Linked DNA regions of Macaca mulatta. The protein of the gene in region 4 purifies or fractionates together with the protein of the main gene of each other region. This does not show direct contact. Links are inferred from orthologs where the notes say so. Each region holds a gene or a part of one and is shown on either strand. Other genes may lie near its edges. The genes, in order: WAPL, NIPBL, USP13, SMC1A, PLK1, PDS5B and PDS5A.

The links.
Region 1: the proteins of SMC1A (region 4) and WAPL purify together in Homo sapiens (affinity purification with mass spectrometry; 7 studies listed by BioGRID and IntAct, with this or other methods). This does not show direct contact. The link is inferred for Macaca mulatta from reciprocal best matches to the Homo sapiens genes SMC1A and WAPL.
Region 2: the proteins of SMC1A (region 4) and NIPBL purify together in Homo sapiens (affinity purification with mass spectrometry; 3 studies listed by BioGRID and IntAct, with this or other methods). This does not show direct contact. The link is inferred for Macaca mulatta from reciprocal best matches to the Homo sapiens genes SMC1A and NIPBL.
Region 3: the proteins of SMC1A (region 4) and USP13 purify together in Homo sapiens (affinity purification with mass spectrometry; 5 studies listed by BioGRID and IntAct, with this or other methods). This does not show direct contact. The link is inferred for Macaca mulatta from reciprocal best matches to the Homo sapiens genes SMC1A and USP13.
Region 5: the proteins of SMC1A (region 4) and PLK1 purify together in Homo sapiens (affinity purification with mass spectrometry; 3 studies listed by BioGRID and IntAct, with this or other methods). This does not show direct contact. The link is inferred for Macaca mulatta from reciprocal best matches to the Homo sapiens genes SMC1A and PLK1.
Region 6: the proteins of SMC1A (region 4) and PDS5B purify together in Homo sapiens (affinity purification with western blotting; 8 studies listed by BioGRID and IntAct, with this or other methods). This does not show direct contact. The link is inferred for Macaca mulatta from reciprocal best matches to the Homo sapiens genes SMC1A and PDS5B.
Region 7: the proteins of SMC1A (region 4) and PDS5A purify together in Homo sapiens (co-immunoprecipitation; 8 studies listed by BioGRID and IntAct, with this or other methods). This does not show direct contact. The link is inferred for Macaca mulatta from reciprocal best matches to the Homo sapiens genes SMC1A and PDS5A.

The regions. Positions count from the first base shown.
Region 1 is NC_133414.1:63,337,176-63,340,675, reverse strand, and holds part of WAPL (wings apart-like protein homolog), read right to left. Parts: intron 2,814-3,500; coding exon 2,295-2,813; intron 1-2,294. UniProt on the Homo sapiens protein: Regulator of sister chromatid cohesion in mitosis which negatively regulates cohesin association with chromatin. Involved in both sister chromatid cohesion during interphase and sister-chromatid resolution during early stages of mitosis.
Region 2 is NC_133411.1:38,161,966-38,165,465, reverse strand, and holds part of NIPBL (nipped-B-like protein), read right to left. Parts: intron 741-3,500; coding exon 552-740; coding exon of another isoform or gene 511-551; intron 1-510. UniProt on the Homo sapiens protein: Plays an important role in the loading of the cohesin complex on to DNA. Forms a heterodimeric complex (also known as cohesin loading complex) with MAU2/SCC4 which mediates the loading of the cohesin complex onto chromatin.
Region 3 is NC_133407.1:91,683,384-91,687,651, forward strand, and holds the start of USP13 (ubiquitin carboxyl-terminal hydrolase 13), read left to right. Parts: upstream 1-1,468; 5' UTR 1,469-1,534; coding exon 1,535-1,702; intron 1,703-4,268. UniProt on the Homo sapiens protein: Deubiquitinase that mediates deubiquitination of target proteins such as BECN1, MITF, SKP2 and USP10 and is involved in various processes such as autophagy, endoplasmic reticulum-associated degradation (ERAD), cell cycle progression or DNA damage response.
Region 4 is NC_133426.1:53,229,506-53,233,005, forward strand, and holds part of SMC1A (structural maintenance of chromosomes protein 1A), read right to left. Parts: intron 1,702-3,500; coding exon 1,545-1,701; exon of another isoform or gene 1,495-1,544; intron 1,142-1,494; exon of another isoform or gene 1,107-1,141; coding exon 952-1,106; intron 830-951; coding exon 678-829; intron 1-677. UniProt on the Homo sapiens protein: Involved in chromosome cohesion during cell cycle and in DNA repair. Central component of cohesin complex. The cohesin complex is required for the cohesion of sister chromatids after DNA replication.
Region 5 is NC_133425.1:23,232,285-23,235,747, reverse strand, and holds the end of PLK1 (serine/threonine-protein kinase PLK1), read right to left. Parts: exon of another isoform or gene 3,408-3,463; coding exon 3,252-3,407; exon of another isoform or gene 2,214-3,251; coding exon 2,136-2,213; exon of another isoform or gene 1,617-2,135; coding exon 1,462-1,616; exon of another isoform or gene 1,374-1,461; coding exon 1,191-1,373; exon of another isoform or gene 1,008-1,190; coding exon 804-1,007; 3' UTR 501-803; downstream 1-500. Other genes in the region: ERN2 (serine/threonine-protein kinase/endoribonuclease IRE2), read left to right, coding at 1-21. UniProt on the Homo sapiens protein: Serine/threonine-protein kinase that performs several important functions throughout M phase of the cell cycle, including the regulation of centrosome maturation and spindle assembly, the removal of cohesins from chromosome arms, the inactivation of anaphase-promoting complex/cyclosome (APC/C) inhibitors, and the regulation of mitotic exit and cytokinesis.
Region 6 is NC_133422.1:12,352,437-12,356,408, reverse strand, and holds the start of PDS5B (sister chromatid cohesion protein PDS5 homolog B), read right to left. Parts: upstream 2,801-3,972; 5' UTR 2,657-2,800; intron 2,180-2,656; exon of another isoform or gene 1,806-2,179; intron 1-1,805. UniProt on the Homo sapiens protein: Regulator of sister chromatid cohesion in mitosis which may stabilize cohesin complex association with chromatin. May couple sister chromatid cohesion during mitosis to DNA replication.
Region 7 is NC_133410.1:39,196,302-39,200,276, reverse strand, and holds the start of PDS5A (sister chromatid cohesion protein PDS5 homolog A), read left to right. Parts: upstream 1-1,175; 5' UTR 1,176-1,634; intron 1,635-1,664; exon of another isoform or gene 1,665-1,841; intron 1,842-2,481; 5' UTR 2,482-2,521; coding exon 2,522-2,659; intron 2,660-3,975. UniProt on the Homo sapiens protein: Probable regulator of sister chromatid cohesion in mitosis which may stabilize cohesin complex association with chromatin. May couple sister chromatid cohesion during mitosis to DNA replication.

The DNA.
Region 1 (3,500 bases), on a different chromosome or scaffold from region 4:
ATATATATATAAAAATTATCGAGACATGATGGCAGGTGCCTATAATCCCAGTTACTGCGGAGGCTGAGGTGGGAGAATCACTTTAACCCAGGAGGCAGAGGCTACAGTGAGGCAAGATGGCGCCATTGTACTCCAGTCTGGGCAACACAGTGAGACTCTGTGTCAAAGTTTGATGATTTTAACATACATTTATGTATTTTTAGAAGCTGACCTGAAAACAGTTTTCATGCTGTTTATGCTATTTATTTATTTATTTTTTTGAGATGGCATCTTGCTTTGTTGCCCAGGCTGGAGTGCAGGGGCACAATCTTGGCTCACTGCAACCTCTGTCTCCTGGGTTCAAGTGATTCTCCCACCTCAACCTCCCTATTAGGTGGAATTAGAGGCACCCACCACCACGCCCAGCTAATTTTTTGTATTTTTAATATAGATGGGGTTTCACCACGTTGGCCAGGCTGCTCTTGAACTCCTGAGCTCAGGTGATATACCCGCCTTGGCCTCCCAAAGTCCTGGGATTACAGGCATGAGCCACTGCACAGGCCCTTTATGCCGTCTTTTTAATGGAAATTTAACCTAAACTTGCCAACAACGCCTGAGGAGAAATGTGGGCAAAGCAGTAAGGACAGCCAAATTAGAATTAACCCGGAGGATCAAAGGAATGACAGTAACAGCTGGCTCATCGTCTCATCCAAGAGTGAGAGAAAGAGTGAAAAAATGCTCAACATTTTTAGTAAAACTATGCAAAGCCCAGTACATTGTACTGTTTCATGTGCCTTAACCTTCAAAGGACAAATTCCCCTTAAGAATTCAGTACAGGCCGGGCACGGTGGCTCAAGCCTGTAATCCCAGCACTTTGGGAGGCCGAGACGGGTGGATCACGAGGTCAGGAGATCGAGACCATCCTGGCTAACACGGTGAAACCCCGTCTCTACTGAAAAATACAAAAAACTAGCCGGGCGAGGTGGCGGGCGCCTGTAGTCCCAGCTACTCGGGAGGCTGAGGCAGGAGAATGGCGGGAACCCGGGAGGCGGAGCTTGCAGTGAGCCGAGATCTGGTCACTGCGCTCCAGCCTGGGCGACAGAGCAAGACTCCGTCTCAAAAAAAAAAAAAAAAAAAGAATTCAGTACAGCAAAGTTTTGTGTTTGTGTTTACTTCCTTTCAAAGGAAGATTTTTATAACCTTTCATTATTGCTAAACTTTGCCAAGATGTCAAGAACTAAGGTTTCTTTTCAATTACAGTATAGTGCCACCCTTATCCTAATGCTGATAGAGTGCTCCCACTTCTCTACCCCACCTCTTCCCTGCCACCCTCAATATTAGCTCTTCAGTCTTTTAGTTAATTGTACCTTTTTCACTTATTATAAATCTCAAATCCCTTACAGGAGACAGAACAAAATGTATCGTTTTAGGAGAGAGTACTAGATGCTCTATTTACAAATTAACATTTTTAAAATACAACCAGTTTTGTGGTTTAAAATCTATCAATACGGCGGGGCACGGTGGCTCACGCCTGTAATCCCAGCACTTTGGGAGGTCGAGGCAGGCGGATCACAAGGTCAGGAGATCGGGACCAACCTGGCTAACACAGTGAAACTCTGTCTCCACTAAAAATACAAAAATTAGCCGGGCGTGGTGGTGGGCCCCTGTAGTCCCAGCTACCTGGGAGGCTGAGGCAGGAGAAAGGCATGAACCTGGCAGGCAGAGCGCGCAGTGAGCCGAGATGGCACCACCGCTCTCCAGCGTGGGCGACAGAGCAAGACTCCGTCTCAAAATAAATAAATCTATCAATACAAGCTGCTACTGGCCCCAAACTAATCTCAATTTGGAATCAAGTTCAATTCTTTAATGTCTCCACTCAATACCTCCTTAATCTTTCTGAGCTAGTTTTGGCAGAGAGTCTACCATTGTTAACTAATCCTCATTTTAAGTACTCATCTCATTTTCATTAACAATAACCATCCAAATCCTCCACAGTAATAGAAATGAGATACTCCGTGATCCTAACACAACAAAAAGAGATATTTCTTATTGGAATCGGGGTTAGAAACGTATGACTGTTCCCAAAATGTACCCTGAGCAACAGTCTATAAACATTAATATCCAAGTTGTTTTATTATTTCAACCTCCAACTGGTTTCTTTAAAGTTCTTAAATGTCTTTTACAAAACTATCAATAGTCCCCATTTATCCTAAGTGCAGAAAGAAAACACAGTATGTATTTTAGAAGTTAAATCATTTTTAAAAGTTGCTTGCATGAAGCCCTCTTGGCTGAGAATAAAGAAAATCAAAACTTACCTGAAGTTATTAATTTGTTACAGCTACTTATGCTTGCATCATCTTCTACAATTCGGTTTGTGCTCTTTTCTTTCCCAAGCAAAGTGTCCTCCAAAGGGAAGCATTTATCAGATATAACAGTGTCTTCAACCACCACATGACTAATTTTGCTATTAGCTTCAAGTACTGAAGTGACCTCTTCCAGCTGAGCAGCTTCACTAGATTCTGAGTAAGAGGAACCCTTACCCTGGGCTAAATTCTTTGAAGAAACTGGTAGAGACTCATCATCACTATCAAATCCAAAAGGATCTCCAGTACTTTCTTCTTCCACTTTAGGTTTCTTCGGAATTTCTTGGATATCTGGTTTGAAATTGGGCCTCTTCTGCCCTAATTTAGCCATAAATGTAGTCTCTCCCCATTTTGTGCTAAGGGTGGTCCGTTTGTTGGAAAAGACTTCATCAAATTTTGAACTGCCATTTCCACCTTTCCTACTGTATGTTTTCCCAAATCTGGATGTCATTTTGACACCAGTTTCATATTCTGTGAAAAAAAATTTAAGAAAACATATAATCATCAAATACTCAACAAGTGTTAAACAGTGCTATAAAAATAAAAACCTAGGGATTATTCCCTCATGACTTTTGACATCACCACAGACTTTTAAACAAACAAATATGAGGAAGGGGTATAAAGAAAGGCTGATTTATTACTCTACATGCTTCCATGTCAATTTTCCTCTACAATGAGTACATATTCTTATGCTACTTACAAAGTAAAAAAACTTAATGATTAACCAACTTATAATACGATATCCACAAAGCTAACTTGAAACGTATTAAGCTCCAAATGAATCAACTTGCTATTCTTATAAACATCATTTTTACCTTAAAAAATAATCTGTATAGAGGCTGGGAGGTCGAGGCAGGCAAATCACTTGAGGCCAGGAGTTTGAGACCAGCCTGGCCACCATGGTGAAACCCTGTCTCTACTAAAAATAAAAAAATTAGCTGCGAGTGGTGGCACACGCTTGTAATGCCAGCTACTTGAGAGGCTGGGGCAGGAGAACTGCTTGAACTCAGGAGATGGAGGTTGCAGTGATGTTATAATAATCTATATAGGGTAATTACCTATATAAAATCTTAAGCACAGAATGTTAATTTTTTTCAGGGCCTCAGAAATATCCAATACTTGATTAAATTTAGTTCTTTGAAATTTCATGGCACTAAT
Region 2 (3,500 bases), on a different chromosome or scaffold from region 4:
CTAAAACATTGGGAGGGGGGAAAAAAGACCAAGTGTTACACAAAAGAATTTTAGTGAAATTATTGTTTTTATTGCTTTTAATCCCTTGACGCCGGGAGTTGGGATTTCCCGGCACACTTCCATTGCCGGCAATGAGACGCACCGTGACCGCCAGCGCCAAGGGGTTAACATATACTTGTAAAACCATATAACTCTTAATTTGTACCCGTGTCTTTACTCTTATTGATATATAAAATTATATATACATATGAACCATAAAGCTACATAAAACTTAGCAACAATAAAAATAACACACATTAATACAATTCAAAGAAAAATTAACCCTTTATGCTGGATAAATCTCATTTCTGTTTTTTTTTATTGTCTTTTATGTTAAACTTTCTACAAAAGGATGTATAAATGGGTAAGTAGAGAATCTCTATCTACAAAATGTTTCCTCTCTTAAGTATTACATTACTTGGTTGTACATTTAATAGACTGACATATATAAGCACATAAAAATCATTTTACGTAATACGCTGCGAAATACGTTGACTCCTCCTCCGCCTCACCCCTGAAGTGCCTCCTCCTCTATCCTCCCCATCACTTTCATCATCTTCTGTCTCTGCTGCTGTATTATTTTTAGGGCTGCCTCCTCCAAGCAGTGAGGTAATTGCTTTGTTCCGAGCATTTGTGCTAGCTGACACCTCCCCTTCTTCTTCTTCTTCATCAGGGTCCAGATGTTCCATGAGAAGTTTGAACTATAAAAAATAGATATTATTTCAGAATTTTAAGTAAATATTTCAAGCAAGATTGTTAAATTCCTAAATGTTTTCTATGGCAGTAGTTTGCTGTGTGTGAAACAGATGTTAGCCATCATCTAAGTTAGGGGCTGGTAAACATTTTCTGTAAACAGCCAGGTGGTCAATATTTTTCATTTTGAAGGCCATATAGTCCGTCACAACTACACAACTCTGCCACTGTAGTATGAAAGCAGTTACAGACAAATAAATGAGTGGGCATGAATGTTTTCAGTAAAACTTTATTTGCAAAAATAGGCAATGGGTTAGATACAAAAACAGCCAGAGTTTTCAGACCCTTGGTCCAAGACATCAAGCAACCAGGTGACAATTACTGACAGACATTTTCTAGTTATCTCCCCTCTTTGCTCTCTGCTAAGAGGATATAAGAGAAAGCAGAGAATGTTGAAAAATTTTAAATGAGAACTAAAATATTTTTAAATTTTAATGTATGTAAGGTTTGCAAAGTCAATGAATAATAGGAAAGCCACCGTGTAGATTATATTCTTAGCTCAAAAATTCTTATTTTCTATGTTCAGCTACTTGCTTTAAAGTAGATTTTTAAAATTTTTTTAAGAAAAATAGAAATGGAGTTTTGCCATGTTGGCCAAACTGGTGTCAAACCTCTGGCCTCGAGTGATCTGCCCACCTCAGCCTCCCAAAGTACTTGGGAGCCACTGCACCTGAACTAAGTAGATTAAAATATAAAACTTTATTTTTATTTTTTAGGACAGTCTTCTAATTTAAAAAACATTTTAAACAACTTTTATATTGTGGTAAAATAGAAATAACATAAAATTTGCCAGCTTAACGTTTTTTTTTTCTTTTTAAATTCAGACAGGGTCTCACTTTGTCACTCAGGCTGAAGTGCAGCGGCGTGATCATGGCTCACTATAGCCTACACCTCCCAGGCTGAGGTGGTCCTCCCACCTCAGCCTCCCCAGTAGTTGGCACTACAGGTGCGCACCACCATGTCTGGCTAATGTTTGTATTTTTTGTAGAGAGAGGGTCTCGCTCTGTTGCTCAGGCTGGCTTGGACTTCTTGGACTCAAGCAAACCTCCGACAATAGGCCTCCCAAAGTGCTAAGATTACAGGTTTAAGCCAGCATGCCTAGCCTACCAGTTTAACCATTTTAAATGTATAATTCATTGGCATGTTGTACAACTATCACCACTATCCATTTCCAGAGCTGTTTCTTTCTTTGTTTTTTTAAATCACTGGACGTCACAGCTCTGTCCTCATTAAACAATAATTCCCTGTTCTTTCCTTCCCTGGTCCTTGGTAACCTCTAGTCTATTCTCTGTCTCTATTTTAAAAGCACATTTTATATACATACATTTGCATACTTGTTAAGTGAGAATGTATGCAAATATATATTGGCATTACTCATATAAGAACATATGAAAAAGTAATAATATTGGTTGTCAGAAAAGAAAGGAACAGAATGGCCAAACAGGGTAAGAGGATGACTGTTTGCAGTTTTACCTTTTATGACATATAAGTCATGTATTTTTCTGATTTAAAAACATAGCCCTCTGTATCCCCGGATTCCGCACCTGCAGATTCAACCCACAGCGGATCAAAAACTATTTGGAAAATGCCACAACAAAAATAACAGCACTGGCCGGGTGTGGTGGCTCATGCCTCTAATCCCACTACTTTGGGAGGCTGGCGGATCACCTGAGGTCAGGAGTTTGAGACCAGCCTGGCCAACATGGCGAAACCCTATCTCTACTAAAAATACAAAAATTAGCCAGGCGTGGTGGCGCATGTCTGTAATCCCAGCTACTTGGGAGGCTGAGGCAGGAGACTCGCTTGAACCCGGGAGGCGGAGGTTATGGTGAGCCGAGATCACGCCATTGCACTCCAGCCTGGGCAACAAGAGTGAAACTCCATCTCAAAACAAAACAAAACAAAACAAAACCCAGCATTACAATAAAAAATAATACAACTTAAAAAAAATGTGGTATAACAACTATGTACATAGCATTTACATTGCTTTAGGTATTATAAGTAATCTAGAAATGATTTAAAGTATATGGGAGGATGTACGTATATGCAAATACTATATTTTTTAAATAATTTTTTTGAGACAGGGTTTCACTCCCGTCACCCAGGATTGGGTGTAATGGTGCAATCTCAGGTCACTGTAACCACTGCCTCTCAGGCTCAAGCACTTCTCCTGCCTCAGCCTCCTGAGTAGCTGGGACTACAGGTGCACACCACTGCCCCCAGCTAATTTTTTGTATTTTTTGTAGATATGGGGATATGCCATGTTGCCCAGGCTGGTCTCAAACTCTGACCTGCCATGGCCTCCCAAAGTGTTGGAATGACAGGTGTGAGCCACCTCACGCAGCCTACTATGCCACTTTTTATCAGGCCCTTGAATATCGGAGGATTTGGGTATCCATGGGGGGACTGGAACCAATTTCCTGTGGAAACCAGGGGACAACTACAAAACACACACACGGGTTTTCCTATTATCTTTCATTTTCACTAAAATAAAACTATTCGTGGGCTGTTGTTTCCTAAGAAAAAATAATTAGGATGCCATAGGTGCAATGCGAAAGACAAGCTTAAAGTAACTCATTAAAACCACATAGAGAAAAATTATCTTGACAGTTCATGAAGCTTACATTCAATGTAAAGGAGATAGTTATCTCCCCACCAGCCCCCCACATTTACTTGTCAAAAAAGCCCTTATGAGAAGTAAAAACTTT
Region 3 (4,268 bases), on a different chromosome or scaffold from region 4:
TAATTTGCATTTAATCTAAGATTAAATTTTTAAGTTTCGTAAAACCAAGTCTATCTCTGTAATTGGAGAAAACATCATCCATGAACCTGAAAGGTAATAAGCTGATGAGACTAAATTCAAAGCAAAAGCTCGCTGAGAGTATCTGCCCCAATGATGAAGATGACAATAGTGTCTGATTTTTTGCTCAGTGCCACCTCCTCCGTTTCCAACAGATAGCATTTGGGAGTGATGAGTTATAAGAAAGTGTGGTGCGCTCCAAGCTTGCTTGAGGGTATGGAAATCTCGAGACAGGTCTGGAGAACCAGGGAGAGTTAACAGATAAATAATGTAAGAAAAAAAAAAAAAAAAAAAAAAGAACTTAAGGACTGTCTGATCTGGGAGAAGTTTACAAAAATTAGCGTTTTGGTTCACTATTTCTCGCTCTTTCGGCGTTTCATTAACTGGATACCCTGCTATGAATATATATATTGGGTGTAGTTAAGAGAACCTCTATGTCACTAAAACCGTCTTATGAGTTTTTTGGAGAAAATGAGAGGACGCTGGGAGACATGCTCTGCTTGCAAATGATCAACCCCCCAGCCCAATCCCATTCATCATTGATTTTGAGGAACTGATGAGTAAGACAGGAATATGTATGTTTGCCTACAAAATCCTCAAATCAGGCCACTGAATGTTCGACATGGGAACTTTGAATCACATAGAAGATACTCCAAAGGCCGAGAAAAATAGAAAGCCTCCCGACGCCCTGAAAAAATCTTGACCATCTCTGACTTCCTCCAATAAGAAAACCTATATTATTATTATACACACGCACACACACCCTCTATCCTCACTCGATCTTGTTCTATTCTATTTTTGAGCTTTGGATGTTAAAGTAAGGAACGAAGCTTAGTGGGGAAACACCGAAGTGCATGGCGCAAATTTAGATTTAAGCCTCACGTTAGATTCCAGATTTGCACATCGAGTCCTGCCCCTACCCAATCCGGGGACGTCACCGCTCTAGTCTTTGGCTGTTTTAAAAGCAAGCGGTTTTTAAAACCCCCAATCCTCCTCTTTGTGTTTGCCTCCTCGGAGTTGCCCCTCTGCAAGCCAAGAGTTCGGGATAGAAAACACCTACGTGGTGTTTTCCCGGGGCTCTCCCGCGCCGCAGTCGGCCGCCAGCCCGCTCGGGCTCCCGCGCCGACGCCTCAGGGGCTCGCCCTCCGACCCCGCCGCCGAGCCCGGCCCGCTCGCAGGGCCCCTCTCCAGCTCCCCCTCCCCGGCGCGCTGCGGCTGGCGCTCCCCAGCCCCGCCTGACGCTGCAGCTGGGCCGGAGACTCGCCATTGGATTAAAAATAGCAGCGTCGCCCGCCCGCCCCGAGCCCCCGGTGCCCGCTCCCGCCCTGCGGCCCGCTCTCCCCGCCCGCCCCGGCTCGCCCGGCTGCGGTCGCCCGCGCAGCCCGCGCGTCCGCCCGCTCGCTGGCGCCACCGCCGCCGGCGGACAGCGCGCTCCGGCTCCGGCTCGGCTCGCTCGGCTCCTGTGCGTGCCGAGGCCATGCAGCGCCGGGGCGCCCTGTTCGGCATGCCGGGCGGCAGCGGAGGCCGGAAGATGGCTGCAGGAGACATCGGCGAGCTGCTGGTGCCCCACATGCCCACGATCCGCGTGCCCAGGTCCGGCGACAGGGTCTACAAGAACGAGTGCGCCTTCTCCTACGACTCCCCCGTAAGTGAGGCGCCTCGGGGGAGGGTCGCGGGGCCGGCGGCCTGCGGCACGTGAAGCCGGGGGAGAAGATGCGCAGTGGCGGCCGGGGACCTCTTCTCTTTCTCTGGGCGGCAGAATTGGCTCAGGAGCACTGCAGTTCGGCAGACAGTGAGCGCCCCAGGGCTGCTGCAGCCGAGGACTGGTGGCTTTGCTCCTCCAGCCTCCCCAGGCTGGAAGGGCCCAATTCCCAGCAGCTTGCACACAGCCCCGCCGCCGTTTAAAGATAGATGAGGTCCAAGAGTTCCCTGTTCCGAACTGCACGTTGCAGATCGTTTGCGTCCTCCCCGGGGCAGAGCGCAGGGCGGGTAGGTGGACGGGATGATTCCCCCACACCCCCGGACACACAGCCCTTCCTTTTGTGGGACCACTTGCTTTGCTCAGGGATCCCCACTCCTGGACAATTCTGATTTGCTCTCTGAGCTTTTCTTCCACCACTTCCCATTTCACCCTACTCCTTTTCTTGCCTTTAGAATGTCAGGGCCGGGCGCGGTGGCTCACGTCTGTAATACCAGCACTTTAAGAGGCGGAGGCGGGCGGATCGCCTGAGGTCAGGAGTTCGAGACCAGCCTGGCTAATATGGCGAAACCCCGTCTTTACTTAAAACCCCCCCAAAATTAGCCGGGTGTGGTGGCGGGCGCCTGTAGTCCCAGCTACTCGGGAGGCTGAGGCTTGAGAATCGCTTGAACCGGGAAGGAGGAGGCCGTAGTGAGCCGAGATCGCGCCACTGTCCTCCAGCCTGGGCGACAAAGCGAGACTCCGTCTCAAAAAAAAAAAAAAAAAAAAAAGAAAAAGGAAAAGAAAAAAAAGGCAGACGAAACCTTCCGGTGCCTCCAATCGGGCAGCAGAAATAGGGGATCTACTGGATTGTGATGGTTTTCTTAAGCCTTTCCCCCTTACCCTTCTAAATGAGTCACTTGGACTGACATGCTCAAGTATAAATTATTAAAAGTTCAATCCCGAGTCGTGACCTCGGAGAATGGAGGAGGAAGCTGAGAGGGATCGCCGCCTTCTACCCGGGGCGGTTGGTGGTGGTTTTCACCTGGTTCTATGTGAAAGTGTGAGAAGCAGCAGGAGGGTGAATGTCCCTTTCAAAAGTCAAAATAGGCTTCAAAGTGACTCAGCTGTCTGGCGTTTATCATGTCTTTTTGAGGACCAAGTTATTTTTATCCACCCACTTTAGATCTCATATGTCACCCGGCAGATCTCAATGCATTGGAAGGCGCATGGATTGGATGGACCGAGGCAGGTCTTGCAATTGTCCAATACCTTTGATTCATAGTATGTGGAGTATTGTCAGAGGGGAAAAGAAAAGTCCAAATGAGCGGCAACATTTCCAAAGTTTCCTTTATTATCTGTGGGTTGATTTTGGCTGGCTGCAAAGGATTTTTGCTCGATACACATTGGAGTATCAGGGTTAGTATCCTCTCTGTGACATTAGTTTTTTTATTTATGGTAATTACATATCATTTGAGGGATAAAACCTAACTTATTTTTTGACTGCTTACTTTTTTTTATTTCGAAAAGATCCAGAGTGGAATGTGAGAATCGGCAGTCCTTTCTTAGTATGTTATCCATAAATTATTTGAAAATGCCATTTTCAGATTGTATGGCCAGTGTTGGGCAGTTCCTAAAGTTGGAGAGGGATGATAGTGGTAACTAACCTAAGCAATTGACAGACTGTTACCTCCACGAGGAAGAAAGTGGCTTAAGTCTTTTAGGATAGCATGACATGGAAAGTGGGGTCAAATGACTTTCCCCATGTTTGATTTGGGCTCTTCTTCAAATTCTGTTTACAAACTTTGCTCTTGGAAGTTTTTGCTGCATAATGTAGTGGATAGCAGGTGTGGAAAAAAAGGCTGATTTTTAAAATTCACTTCCACAAATAGTTATTGGGAGCTTACTGTGTGTTTCTAGAATGTTACTATTCTAGAAACATCTCGTCCAGTGTAGACTGATGATTTCAGTCACATCATAGCAGTTCCTTGTGGGAGACTGGGATTAATTTACAAGGCTGATGAATCAGTATATTTCATTATCTATGTTTCGGGCAGGAAGGGAAGGAAGGTTTGATAATATTTATCTTAAAGCACAGTGCTTGATAATGAGAAGTTTTTTTTTTTTTTTTTTTTTTTTTGAGATGGATTTTTGCTCTTGTTGCCCAGGCTGAAGTGCAATGGCATGATCTCAGCTCACTGCAACCTCCGCCTCCTGGAGTCAAGCGATTCTCCTGCCTCAGCCTCCCAAGTAGTTGGGATTACAGGCGTGTGCCACCACACCAGGCTAGTTTTGTATTTTTAGTAAAGACAGGGTTTCGCCATGTTGGTTAGGCTGGTCTCGAACTTCTTACCTCAAGTGATCCACTCACTTTGGCCTCCCAAAGCACTGGTATTACAGGCATGAGCCACTGCAACCAGCCAGTATTTTGTTATGGTATGTAACACTACACTGTGAGTCCAATAAGGGTTTCTTCAGCACCTACTATGTGCCATCTCATACATGCATGACTGTAAGGACCGTAGAGAGCAAA
Region 4 (3,500 bases):
GTCTTCCCTGGCTTACCCACACCCTCCCCACAGACTGGGTTAAGTGTACCTCCTCTGTGTATCCATCGCACCCATGCTCACCCGGTTACAACACTTAGCACATGTCTGTTTATGCGTCTGGCTTCTGCTAGACTGTGAGCTCCTCGAGGCCGGAGACCCTGTCTGATACATCTGTGTACCTAATCCCTCCGCAGGGTCTGGTACAGAGCAGCACTCAAGAAATTGATGCTGTACAATCAAGCAATATAAGCTGCAGGAGTCAGACTCAAGTACTGGCATTCAGGAGGGGAAGGTCAGGGTATGACACAGTGATCAAGGAGGGCTTCCTAAAGGAAGGGGAGGAGAATGAGAAAGGGTGAAGGGGTGAAAGGTGATGATCAACCTAGATTTACATGGAAAGGGATTATTAGCCAGCAACCTTGTGAGCAAAAGCCTGGAGGTGGGACTGAATACATGCAGAGGCCGGTGAGGGCATGCTGAGCGGATGAGGGTGGATGGGGAAGACAGGTCCAGAAAAACCAAAGCCAGATACGCTGCAGTAGATAGTGAAACAGGGATGCAATCCAGATTCCACCAAACTATCTTCACCTTTGCAGATCTCTGTGTATCCTTGGGCCCCAGAGCCTCTGGTGGCCTCAGTTCAGTCTTCGTCAACTGACCTAGGGGATCAGCCTTACCTGTGGATGGCAAAGAGCAGGGCCAGAGCTGCCACTGTCTTCTCCCCGCCTGATAAGTTGTCCATAGGCCGGAAGCGTTTCCCAGGAGCCACACAGTTGTAGTTGATGCCATCCAAGTAGGGCTCTTCAGGGTTCTCAGGGCCCAGGAATGCCTAGGGAAAGGCAGATGGGTCAGGATCTGTATCTGAGTCTGGATGGAGATAGGGACAGGAAGCCTAGAGGGAAAGATAACTGAGGATGGTAGCAGCTGGTTGGGTAAGGGGCTCCAGCCTACCTGGGCACTGCTATTGCGGGACAGGGCTTTATAGATCTCATCAATGTTGGTAGCCACAGATTCAAAACAAGCATTGAAGCGGTCAAAGCGCTCCTTCTTGATCTGTTCGAATGCCTGCTTGGCCTTCTTTGCTCGCTTTCGGGCTGCTTCAAACTCTGCCAGAAAGAAAGACAGGTGACCCCTCAGTGCCCTGGCAAGAAGGACCTGCAAATGACAATCCAGAGCAGGGACATCCCACCAAGAGAGAGAGGAATGCCTGAGGAGGGTCCCAGAAGGATCTGTATCCAGTGGACTGGCCACTGGATACAATGCAGAGGAAGAAACAGGGGCCTGCAGCCACACAAATATGGATTCCTCCCTGTGTTCTACCAGCAACCAGCTACGTGACCTTGAACAGGTCATTTACCCTCTGGGAACCTCAGCAATTTTCTGTTCTATAAAGCAGGTGTAATAACCCCTACTGTTTAGGGCTCCTGGGAGTTTTAAGTAAGAAAGCATGTCAGAACAGGAACTGCTGTGATGTACAGCAGGCCCGTGGCATACCTTTAGCCTCTTGTCCTTATCATAGGCCCAAGTAGAAGGGTAAATCTTACCATCTGAGGTCTCCTGGAACTTGTCTCGGACACTTTCCAGCTTTTCCATGGCCTTCATGTTGGGGGCGGCAATACGCTGAAGCACACTCTGCTGCTCATTCAGCTTCTGCTGCAGTGTGTTCATCTCTTGCTTGATCTCTTCCTCAGCCTGGGCATCCTGTAAGCCCCAGGCCCAGCAACATCAAGAAGGGCCTGGCCCCTGTGCCCAGGCCCCCACCGAGAGATGACCGAGTGTGGCCTGGGTGCCTGCTCCTATATGGAGGGCAGGTTCTTCTTCTCCAGCTTGGTTCCTTCCATCAGATCCTACCCATAGTAACCATTTCCACCATCTCTGGAAATTATAGGCTGAGGCTGCTTTCTAATCTCTAGCCCTTCCCCCAGGCCCTGCCGACCTCTTTGTCTCTCAGGAGGAGCAGTTGGTGGTGCCCCTCTCTGGCTCTCAGCCCAAGCCATGAGCCAGTACCACCCCAGGGTGACCTGGAGGCTCCCACGCTGGCTGCTCTGGACTCCACTTACAGCTCCACAATAAGTAAGGCAATTCACGTTTTCTGCTTAGATCACTACATTTGAGCAAATTCCATTTGAGTTTAGTTTTAGTTCTTATGGATATTGCAATGCATGTCTGGGCTTGTGCCTTTCTGCCACTTTCAGTCAATAAATATTTACTGATTGCCTACCAAGTGCCAGGCACTGGGGCCATCCTGTCCTGTGAGCCCTGGTTTCTGTGCTCACAGAGCTCAGGGGTCTAACAGAGGAATGCAGATAAGTAAACAACCAGAATACTGTAGGATGAATGTGAAAACAATGATAAGCAGGCAATGTTGAATCAGCTCACAAGAAAGACACCTAACTCAGAGATCAGGAGACTGATAGTTCTTGAGTGGTGAATGTTAGTACTATTATGTTTAGTGAGCCTAGGGTATTTTAGGTATAAATAAGTATAATAAGTAGAGGGAAGGATCCCACTAGTATATAGAATAAGAAATATGTGACCTGCATTGAGGCGTTCTGGTTGGTTACCTCATCGGGTGATAAAAATTAAGGTAGGCTTCCAGGAATATGTTTAAGCTAAGGACTACAGGATGAACAAGTGAAGACAGAGAAAAGGAATACACTTTTTTTTTTTTTGGAGACAGAGTCTCGCTCTATTACCCAGGCTGGAGTGCAATGGCATGATCTCTGGTCATTGCAAGCTCTACCTCCCAGGCTCAAGTGATCCTCCCAAGTAGCTGGGACTACGGACACACACCACCATGCCTGGCTAACTCCTCCCAAGTAGCTGGGACCACAGGTGCCCGCCACCACGCCTGGCTAATTTTTTTTTGTATTTTTAGTAGAGACAGGGTTTCACCATGTTAGCCAGGATGGTCTCAACCTCCTGACCTCGTGATCTGCCCGCCTCGGCCTCCCAAAGTGCTTGGGATTACCGGCACGGGCCACCGTGCCCGGCCCCAGGATAGGTTTTTAAGTCAAATATGAAAGCTACACAATAGTGTACGCTATCTCTTATTTAAGTGAAGGTAGAGGGAATACAAATATATTTGTATTTTAAACATATAACAACAACAAAAAGAATAATCCAAAAACTAATTAAAGGGTTATCTATCGAGAAAGAGAGGTGAAAGGGACAGGAATGGAAGCAAGAATTCTCTTCATGTACCTTGTTTTATACTTTTGGTTTTAGAAACACATAAAGATGTTATATATAACTATTAAAACAAATTTAATCAAAATGTGAAAACCACTGGGTAAAAAATTTTTGGGGAACAAGATATTCACAAAATGCCAAAGCATCACTCTAAAGATTACTAATTAATGACAAAGGCAAAAGTGTACATTTAGCGTTGAAAAACCTAGCAACTGACACTTTAACTGAGGGATCAAACTCAGTATCACTAATAGTGGGCACATCCTGACATGATGTACCTCCTGGAGGGATGCCACATAAAGTTCACT
Region 5 (3,463 bases), on a different chromosome or scaffold from region 4:
CCTGGGGCTGCAGGGAGGTGAGGTGGGCCGGAGGCCACACAAATGGTCTCCATGCTGGCTAGCTGAAGAGCTGAGCCTGTGGCTGGCCTCAGAATCAGAATCAGAAAAGACTGCCAGGCTGGGTGCAGTGGCTCACGCCTATAATACCAGCATTTTGGGAGGCTGAGGTGAGAGGATCACTTGAGCTCAGGAATTCCAGACCAGCCTGGCCAACATGGCAAGACCCCACCTCTACAAAACATTTGAAAAATTAGCCAGGCATGGTGGCGCACGCCTGTAGTCCCAGCTGCTTGGGAGGCTAAGGTGGGAGAATCGCTTGAGCCCAGGAGTTCCAGGCTGCAGAGAGCCAGGATCATGCCACTGCACTCCAGTCTGGTCCACAGACACTGTCACCCCCTACCCCCCACAAGACTGGCAGAGGCTGGGCAGCCTGGGGCTGATGAAGCAGAGATGTTCCCTGGATCCCAGGCCCTGGCACCCCTCAGGAAATACAAGAAAAAGAAGATTCACATCTGTTTAATGTGTATAAAGCCAAGGAAAGGACAGTTCCGAACTCAATAGAAATATTCTGTACAATTCATATGGTGGGGTTGAGGGGGAGGGGACGAGGCTGTAGAACCCACACCCGAACATGTACAAAAATAACTTACACAGCAACCCCCACCTGCAAGGATGATGCAGCTCTGCCCAGCCACCGGGGCTGGGGGGCACACTGCAGACATGGCACCGCAGGAGCCAACCAGTATGGGCCCCAGATGCTGGTGGGAGTGAGGAGGGCACCAGTCCGGAGGGGAGGGCAGCTATTAGGAGGCCTTGAGGCGGTTGCTGGCCGAGCGTGAGCTCAGCAGCTTGTCCACCATAGTGCGGGCATAGCGGAGCCGGCTGGCCAGCTCCTTGCAGCAGCCGTACTCCTCCAGGAGACTCAGGCGGTACGTGCGGAAGTCCCGCTTCTCATCGATGTAGGTCACGGCTGCCATCAGTGGGCACAAGATGAGCTTGGTGTGATCCTGCAAGAGAAGAGGGGCAGGGATTGCTGATCCCAGAGGCCAGTGTATGTTAGGGAGTAGAGGGAAGACACAACAGGTTATAGGTACCTGAGCCATTCACTCCATACTCAACTCACATGGGCCACTGCCAAGCACGTGGAGCCTACCCCAGCTCTCTCCTGCCCCTGGTGACATCCAGCTCACCTGGAAGAAGTTGATCTGCACGCTGCCATTGCTGAGGTGCAGGATGATGGCACTGCGGGTGCGGAACCAGGTCCGCAGGTAGGGCAGCCGGGCGAGCTCATCACCTTCACGCGGCGTGATGTTGGCACCTGCCTTCAGCAAATGCTCACTCATGTAATTGCGGAAATATTTAAGGAGGGTGATCTGGATGAAAAGTAAGTGAGGGGTTCCAGAATTAGAGTCTCGCCCTCCAGCACAGGTCCCACTCCCGCAATAGCCGGACGGCACTTACCTTCTTCATCAAGGAGTTGGGATGGGAACTCACGGTGAGGTAGGACTCGGTGCCGTCACGCTCTATGTACTGCAGGCTGTCACCATCGTTGTAGAGGATGAGGCGTGTTGAGTCATTGAAGAGCACCCCCACGCTGTTATCACAGAGCTGATACCCTAGGGATCAGTGGAGAGAGGTCTCAGAAAGGGGGAATAGAAAGTGGGGAGTGGGGCTGGGTGCGGTGGCAGATGCCTGTGATTCCAGCACTTTGGGAGGCTGAGGGGGGAGGATTGTTTGAGCCTAGGAGTTTGAGACCAGTCTGGGCAATGTAATGAGACCTCATCTCTACAAACTATTTTAAAAATTAGCTGAGCGTGATGGTGCATGCCTGTAGTCCCAGCTACTTAGGAGGCTGAGCCTGCAGCCAGGCATAAGCCTGGAAGTTTGAGGCTGTAGTGAGTCATGACTGTGCCACTGCACTCCAGCCTGGGCGACAGAGTAGGACCCTGTCTCTGGGCAGTGGGGGAAAAAGGCTGGGGAGTCGGGGAGCACTGGGAGCTGGAATTGGGAGGCCTGGGATGGAGAAAGGAGGGCACTAAGAGTACCTGGGAGCTCAAAAAGGCCAGAGCCTGTAACAACTGAAAAGGTCACCTGGCTGTGCCTGAGTCACCCACCTGGTTCTGGAAGAAACCTACCAAGGCCGTACTTGTCCGAATAGTCCACCCACTTGCTGACCCAGAAGATGGGGATGCAGGCAGGATCCTCAGCCTCCTCTAAGACAGAAACAGACAGACAATTGGTCAGGACCAGCCTCTTCTTCTCTGGTCCACACATGTGGCCCACACCAGGGAACAAGGAAGCCTGCTGGGCACACCACCTGGGCTCAGTTGAGAGGCCTAGGGCCCCAGAGAAGAGCAAAGCAGGGCCTCTGCTGCCAACAGGCTCAGACAAGCAGCAGCATAGACATCTCTACACAGAAAGTTTCAACACAGCGCACCAAGTTCCACTCACTCCTTCATTCCACTGACCCATTTACTGAAGGCCTACCGTGCCAGGCACTGTTGCAGGTACAGTGAGCAACAGACAAAACCCCAGCCTCCACAGAGCTTACACTGTGGTTGCAGGGGCAAAGACTAATCAAATTAAGTATGGGCAAAATATCAGTGACTTCTATCATGGTAAGAGTCAGAGACATCTAGTTTTCCAGTTTGGAGTAATTAGGAAACTGTGAAGACAGACGCCGGCTGCAAACACATTAAAATGTTATATTCAGTGCATGCAACAAACACCTTACTTTAAATCCAATCAAAGAAGAAGGACGTGTTGGACTATGTTGGGTGAGAAGTGTTATGGAAAACTATGCAGTGGGTAAGGGGATGCGAAGCACCAGCAGAGGGGCCAGGGAGATGCTCACGGAGGTGACACCGGAGCAGACACTTGAAGGAGGCCACAGTGTGAGCCATGTGGTGTCTGGAAGAAGTGCTTTCATGCCAGGGCCAGGGAGAAAGCCCTGAGGCTGCAGTACGTCTGGGTCTGTTATTTCAAGGGTCTTGAAGAAACAACAGGAACTTACTGAGCAAAAGAAACAGCGTGTGAAGGTGGCACATCGAGGTGCTAGAGTAAGAGACGGATCAGAAAAGAAGGCAGGAGCCACAGCAAGCAGGGCCTCGGATATCAGGAAATGGGGAAACCAATGGTCCTATGGAGACAGGGCCTGGACAAGTCACCAGTGCTTTGTTGGCCAAGGCTCCTCCTGCCTTCTCCAGATGCCCCAAGCAATCCTGCCCCGCCCAGGGCCCCGCAGTACCCACCTTGCCTGACCAGCCCGCGCTCCGAGGGCTTGGAGGCATTGACACTGTGCAGCTGCTGCAGCATGTCACTGAGGTGGCAGTCGACCACCTCACCTGTCTCTCGAACCACTGGTTCTTCCTTTTCCCGGGTACGCTCAGGCAGGGGGTTCTCCAAGCCTAGAAAGGTGACAAAAACAGGGGCGTTGGGAAGGGCATAGGACTCCCCTGCCACA
Region 6 (3,972 bases), on a different chromosome or scaffold from region 4:
CCACCACATGAATACGACTGTGACCTCAGATAAATCAATGAAATTAAAATCTGAACCGAATTTCTCATGTATAAGCGAGTTGGAGATCATCCTTAAGTTTTCTTGTTGCTCTCTAACACTAACGGAGGAAACATAAATAACTTTTCCAATATAAGTTATATACAGTCCATGTCATTCAAGAGTCCATAAGCCAAATCTTACTGAGCGCACTCCTGTTAGTTCTAAGGCAGTCTCTAAATTTCCCAAGAGGAATAAGCAGAAAGAATACAACTTCCCGAAATATTCCTTTCTCACAAAGTTTTGGGTATTTTCTACCATTGCATTCTTCTCCAGGGCAAGCCCTAACACAAAGTATTACTTTATCTTAGGCCTAACAAATTATTGATAAAGCCTACTCCTCAAAATGTTACTTTGTTAAACAAAGCTGCAGAACAATTTAAACAACTTTCATCAAACAGCCAACTCGGTAGAATCTTACTACAAGTAAGCTTAATACAAACATCTCACGACAAGAATCACTATCATCAGTACATGTGTCTCTAATACGGGGGTAAAAATGAGAGGGGAGAGACATAACACGAGAGAATAAAGGCGACAAGAGTAACAAAAGCTGCTGTAAAAGGTAATATAGGGAAAATCAGCCTTAACCAAAACAAGGAGAAAAGAAAAAAAGAAAAAGGGTGAACACAAACACTACCTTCCCATTTAAAATACACCTTTAAGTAAACGCCAGCTGAGAAGAGGACAATTTTTTAAACCATCAGAAAAAGGAGGAAAAAGTCACTATTTGGATAATTTTTATAAAGTCTAAAGTGCATCTTTTTACATATACTTGTAAACGTATATCAAGCACAAATCTTATTTCTAAGGAATAACGTTCTTAAAATGTTTTTAGTTTCTGACAATCAATCGATCTTAACATAAAAGGTCCCATGTAACTTTCACCTATTCACCACTACAAATTTTAATTCGGTTTTCTGCTATCACCATGAGATACAAGATTAACTGTTCCACGAACTGACCCACATACACCATTGAATACTCATTTCATTGTCCCTAAAGATGGGAACATCTCAGACATGTGTACTGCATAACGAGCTGTCTTTCAAGTCCATATTTGTGGCTTTTAACTAGTTTACCTGACCACTACATGAGTTAATATAAAAAACGTTCTGTCTGGGAACTCTGGATGGGTTAACTGAGAACAACGACTATATTGCCGTTCAAGTATTGGGTAATGACGATTTATTTACAGCTCGCCTCCTGCATGTAAACACAACGTGAGTTTTTGAAGTTTATTAGGAAGATGGTATAGGATTACCCAACTCTCTCCACACCGCAGACCAACCCTCTAAATTAAAGCTATATCCAAAGTTTCCGAAACTATTTCATCGACAGGGTAGGATCAGTCGGGGCACCACTGCCCATCCATCACCTCTTATTAAAAGTACAAGAAGCACTTTCTTCGACATAAAAAAGGGTTAACCCTTGCTGGGGTAGAGAGGCTGTTGAAGACGCGCGCGGAATGGGTGGGTAGCTGCTCTTTCAACCCTTCCCGGAGCTCGCCCCGTCCGCGGCAAGGAACGCAGCAGCCTGCAGTTCCGAAGGCGAGGGGCGGCGTTTCTGGTTTCAGTCATTCCTCCAAAATAACTGTCGAGCTACTTCTGAGTTAGCTTTCACGTCTCTACCAAAAACCAACAGCAGTAGCAGCAACAACAACAAACAAGGTTTTTCTCCGGACCGAAAACTTTTAAAGTAGCATTAAAATAACAGTGCAAAAACATTAACGAGTCACAATTGCACACCATTTTCCCCGCCGTTCCTTCCGAAAGGAAAGCTAGAACCCAGTTGTCGCCTGGGAGGAGTCCCTCCACGCCAGCGCTGGGCTCTTGCTCAACGGGGTCCTCAGGTTCCCCGAGCACCCACTCCGGGCGGCGCGGTGAGCGCGATTTCCCTCGGGCAAGCAGCGAGGAACAGCGCAAAAATGTCATGCTCAGCCCGTCCCCTGGCCCGAAGCGCAGGCCAGGCGGCGCGCGGGGACCCGGCGGCGAGGGCGAGGGCGAGGGCGAGGGCGCCCGCGGCCCCGACCCGCGGTCCCCGCCCGCCCCTCGCCCGGAAGGGGGAGAAGCCCGCCCGCGGGAGGATTCAACAGGAGCACCGCGCCGCCCGCCTGCCGCCCGGGAAACAGCCGCCGGCCGGCCGGGGCGCGGGGGGAGGGGCGCGGCGGCGGCGGTGGCGGCGGGAGGGCGCGGGCGGCCGGGCGGCCCCGGGACCCCAGCCCGCGCGCAAGGTCACCGCCCGCCGCCGCCGCCGCCCGGGCCGGGATCAGAGCGGCAAGTTTAATTTCCAGAGGCTGCGGCAGAGCCCGCGGCGTGGAGGCGCGAGTCGGCCGCGGGGCCCTCCCCACCCCCACCGCGCAGCCGGCCCGCGCCCCGCGACCCCCGCCCCGGGCCGCCGCCAGGCAGCCGCCCGCTGCAGCCCCCGATGCCGGGAGGCGAGTCGCGCCTGGCACCCGGGCGGGCGGCGCTTCAGCCCTGCCACACACACACACACACACACACACACACACACAGCAGCAGTGGCGGCCACCGAAAAATGGAGCGCCGCGGCCAGAGAAGAGAGACATTTTCTTTCCGTTAACTGAATTGTTTCCTACCTCCGGGTTTCCGACTCGCTACTCCTCTCACTCCGCGGCTCTCCGGGATCCGCCGCCGCCGCCGCATCCAATCGCCTTCTCTCCCCCCTCCCCTTCCGCAGCCAGCCCGGCCGTTCCTCCTCCTCTCCGCTTCAAAATGGCGCCAAGCGCTCTTCGGCGGCTGCTCCAATCGAACCGCCGCGGACAGCACCCGGGGGCAGGCAGAGCGCGGCATGGGTGCGCAGCGCCCCCTGCCGACCAGACGGCCCCGCGCGCGCCCGCCCTCCGAGCTCCGCCCCGCCCCGTCCGCGCGCGCGCACTCCCCTCCTCAGCCCCGCCCCGTCCGCGCGCACGCAGCCACACGGGCACGCCGCCGCGGAGGCCGCGAGACTGGCAGCTGTCAAGGCGTCCACTACCCTTGCAGCTTACTAGACCTCCACCGACAAAAATCATTCCGATTGTTACGTAGCCCTATCTTTTTAGATAAAGATTGGGAGATTTTTTTAAACACTGACATTCAGCACAGGTGTTGTGCTAGGTTAACATAATTGGTATTATTAACTACTTTGCTCCTTGTTAATTCTGACCTAGTCGTCTCGGAATGCCATACAAATAGTTTTCCTACACTTTATGTGTTGTGTCTTTATTAAATCTCCCCGCTTTCCTAATTTGATGAATTGTTCATAGGTGGTAAGCTGGCGGAGACACAGAGTAATTGAGCCTGTGACGAAGCATTCTATTCCTTTGGCAGAATTGTCCTTATTAGAGGAAGACATCATCTGGAGACCACAGGGACACATTCCAGGAGGTGGGTCTCCTCCCCTCTTCACCTTTCGGGGATGCCAGTCCCTCAAGTGGGTTTAGCCTGGTCACAACAGATCACCTACCTTTGGGGAAGCTTTTCCTCCCCTGCCAGAACTGAAGAAGGGACTTCCTCCTCTTTTTACTTTAATATCATCCCTCCTGTAAGGAAGTTTCCCCCGATATGATGTATTTGGTTACTAGAATTTTGTTCCAGGGAGAATTTGTTTCAACAATGAACAAGCAAAGGGTGAATGAATGGATTACAATAGGATACTTATCAACTGAAAGAAAAGATAGGTAATGCTGATCTGTAAACTAATGTTACTGTGCACCTAGAGATACTAGGTGCATTTTCCTCTGTCTGTCCTAATGGTAATTGCCTCATTCACCCTTACCATGTAGCTGTTTTGAAGGCTATCTCCTTTCTGCACCTAGAGATACTGAGACCTCTTCATTTCCATTTTTGTGGGATTTCCTGGACAATTCCGCTTCAGTCTCCTACAGTGCTTGCTAGACCAATATGTTGTGTTACT
Region 7 (3,975 bases), on a different chromosome or scaffold from region 4:
ATGGATTCTGCCTGGTACTGTAAATGCCCAAGAACAAACCACTGACTTTTGGGCAGAGTTCTAGCAAATCAGCAACTGGAGTGTCAGATTCGCAATGACTGCTCTCTTGTGTAAAACGTCAAAAACAAGTTAGTGAGCTGCAGTACCTTTACTATTTTTAAGTTGACGTTAAAGGATGTGGGAAAAAAATAGACCAATGGATATCCATCAAGAATAATTTGAATAAACAAACGAATATCATTTTAAACTATGGTAGTGGTCAGTTTCAAGAGCTGAATGCGATTTCATATTATTGTATCCTTTTTTCAACTTCCTCTTCGGAAATTTTGTGTATGCTCTTGATTTTTTAAAAAATAGGTAAGTGTATGCTCTTGCGTTCATTTATTTCACAAACATTAATGCTCAAACACTGCTGCGTGCACTTTTTTTACCTGATAGTTTTTTCCTTTGGATGACAGAAAACGTTAATGCTTGGTAGGTTTAAAACATTAAAAAAAATGAGTTCTTCCTTTTTGACAAGAATCACCTACCTAATTAATAAATGCTTATTTCTGGGTTCCACTCTCAGAGATCCTCGCTTTTTTATGTTTGGAGTTGGAAACCTATGTTTTCAGCCAGTACCCAAAGCGATTGTGAGGCCTGGTGGCCCAAAGATCATACCTTGAGAACGACTCGACCCAATGCTATTTTCATGTTTTGCAGCTTTCAAAATATTAACTTCAGAAATCTAAGGACGGTGGGCAACTCGGGTGCTGTCAGAAGACCCGAGAGTGAGCCGCTCACGCTGTGCCCCGTTGCACAACTTTCCTTGACTTTCCAGATCTCTCCCTGAGGAAGAAATCAGTTCATTTTCACCGAGCAATTAACTACTCCCAACCGGTTCCGTCTATGTCCCTCAGGATGACCCCCCAAAGTCACCAGCTCATCGCCGCTGCGAAAATAAAGCGCTGTTTGCCCCGCGTGCCCCCGCAGGGCCGCGGGAACCTGGGCTCGCTTCCCGCCACCCGGGCTCCTCCTCCTCTAGCCCTCTCCGGTCGGGTCCTCCCGGAGGCGCCCCGCGCGGCAGGTATTGGCGCCAACCGGGTGGCGGCGCTGTCCGCCCTGCGCGCGGCCGCCTCGGGCCCGAGGGAGGCGGATGCACGGCCGGCGGAGGAAGGGGAGGGAGCGAGGAGCGCGCGCTGCTCTCGCGTGCTCTCGCGCCGCTCGCGTGACCGGCCGGTGTGTGCGCGAGGGCCAGCTCCCGGGGCACGGACGGCCGGGCGCGCGCCGCTGCGAGGGGCGTCCGGGTCCGAGTCGGCGGTCCGGGCCGGCGCGAGGTGCGTGCGGGCGGGCTGCGGGGGTCCCGGGCGGACACACGCGCACACGTTCCCGGAGGAGCCTTCGAGGCTGCTCTTCCTCGGCCAGACGGAGAGCGGCACTGTCTCCCCGCCCAGCGCTCACTCGCCCCGAGTCTCCCCCCGCAGCGGCTGCTCCTCCTCGGCACCGCCAGCCCCAGCGCCGCTCCCGGGCGGGCGGGCGGCGGCGGCGGCGGGACCCGCGGAGCCGCTTTGTGTGCAGCCCGACGAGGGGCGGCGGCGCAACCACCTGACAGAGGCCCGGGCGCTCGATGCACCTTCCGCCCGCATGAGGAGGAGGTAAAGGCGGCGGTGGCTCGGCTCCCGCCCTAGGCTGCTGGAGGGAGGGGACGGAAGAGGAGACCGGAGGGGGGCCGCGGGTCCGAGGCCCGGTGGGGCCGCCCGGGGGTGCCGGAAAGGCCTTGGCGGTGCCGGAGGCGCCAAGCGGCCGGGGGCCAGAGAAGCAGCTGGGGTCCCTCAGCCGAAGTTGAAGGAACAAAATGTGAAGTGCGGAGCCGCGTCAGCCGCTTCCTGGCGTGGGGCTCGGGGTGGAGGGCGGCTTGTTTTCCCCTCCCGCGGGGGTGAGGGAGCGGAACAGGGGAGGGGCGGCAGTGCGGCGGGGACTACCCCGGGTCCGAGGCTCGGCTGGGCAAGGGCGTTTTGTTCCCGGGAGCCGCCGCTGCGCGTGGGTCCGCTGGGTCCCTAGTTTTGCGGCCTAAGCCGAGCCGTATAGGCCTCGCGTCTGCTTTCCCGGAGGGGACTGGCCGGGCGGGACTGGGCGCTTCCCCACGGCCGAGCGGGGGCCTTGGGGTCCTTGCCGGCCTCCTGAGGCCGCCAAACTTCGGACCTTGGTGCTCGGGGCTGGGTTTCATTGTGAAAGACGGAATGGGAAACTCCTGGCGCTGTTCGGCGCCTCCCGCGGCCGCGGCTGCTGGTGCCGAGGAGCCCCGTGAGCCTGGGGCTGGCTGGGCTGGGGCTGGTGGGGCCGGCGGGGTTCGAGCCCTGGGAAAGAGCGGGTGGCGAGGCCGCTGCCGGGTCCCCGGCGTCCGGGGAGAAAGGGCCTTTTCCAGATTAGAGAGATTTGAAATGAAAAAAGAGGTTACAAAGTCGCCCCTTTCCCGCTGAACTTTGGTTTTCTGACCGATAGAGGCCGGTAGAGGACTGTGAACCAAAAGTTGTCCCCCAGGATGGACTTCACCGCGCAGCCCAAGCCTGCCACTGCCCTCTGTGGCGTCGTGAGTGCCGACGGGAAGATCGCTTACCCTCCGGGGGTAAAAGAGATCACCGACAAGATCACCACTGACGAGATGATCAAACGCCTGAAGGTAAGCGTCTGGACGGATTGTTCGCTCTTCAGATGTCTTTGGTAGGAGGTGCTTTCTCCTGTCATATTGCTACCCTGCTCGTTCTGGCCTTTAGAGTTCCAAGTTTTTTAGATCTCTTACGCCCTGTGAAAGGTACTGTTGTATCTCAGATAAGTTATCTTTGAGTAAGCTTTGTAAGGACATAACCATTGTGGGAAATTTAAAAAGAGTGTGATTTTTCAAAAACTTCCTGGTTTTCAAGCATGAGAATTTGTGTGTTTTTAGAGTTTTTTCTGGAGGTATTTAATGAGAATACTGTTCAGAGTGGCTTGCACACTTACGTGTAGGCAGTAATTTGCCCAAGAAGTTTCCTGTTTTCAACTTGTGAGGAGGACTGATTAAAGCGCAAAGTCCTTTTTAAAAATTTGCATAATTTTCTAGTGTCCAGAAGCTTAAATATGTATATATTGTGGTTAAACTTTGACAGAAGGTACACTTTTCATAATTCAGGCTTAAAGTAAGATGATTTAAGTCTATACATAGTTCAAAGGAGTTTAAGAGTATTATGGCTCTTTTTATGAGGTGTCAGCTAATTTCGTTTAAGCATGGCAGTCCTAAGGTTAAGGTTTTAAATTTCAGCCTCACGTTTGTAAGGTTTTTTGGTTTCTGTTCCACTGACATAGATTGTGGCCAGAATCTTACCAAATAAGTGATACTCTTCTTGTAGGATCAGCTTGAAGCAGTGGTTCTGAGTCAGGGCAACTTTGACCTCCAGGAGATGTTTGGCAATGCTGGAGACATTTTGATTGTCACAATTGGTGCTAGATTGGAGTAGGGAAACACCAGAGGCAGTGAGTCCGGCTAGGAAACTATGAACAGTAGTCTAGGTGAAAGACGTTGAAATCTTCAGATAGGGCTATGGCATTGATAATAGTGACTAGGAAATGATTTAACAACTTTTCAGAGTTAGAATCAATCAGAATTGGTGGGAGGTGAGGGAAGCAACATTGTTGACAATGTTTCCATCTTGGGCGACTTGGCGAAATGTATTTTAGGGAATGAGCTTGGCCTCTTGCTCTTGGAGCCCAGTAAATGTACCTAATGTTGCATTTTAATTAGTACAGTGTTTAAAATGTTCATGTGGTTTAGTTTTCAAACTCTAATTTGGTTGTGCAATTTGTTGCCTTTTTGGAAGGAATAAGACAACAGTTTCTTTCATTAAAACAAATCTATGTGCAGTGGTGTGATCTTGGCACACTGCAACCTCCACTTCCCAGGTTCAAGCTGTTCTGCCTCGGTCTCCCAAGTAGCTGGGACTACCGTGCGCCACCTGGCTA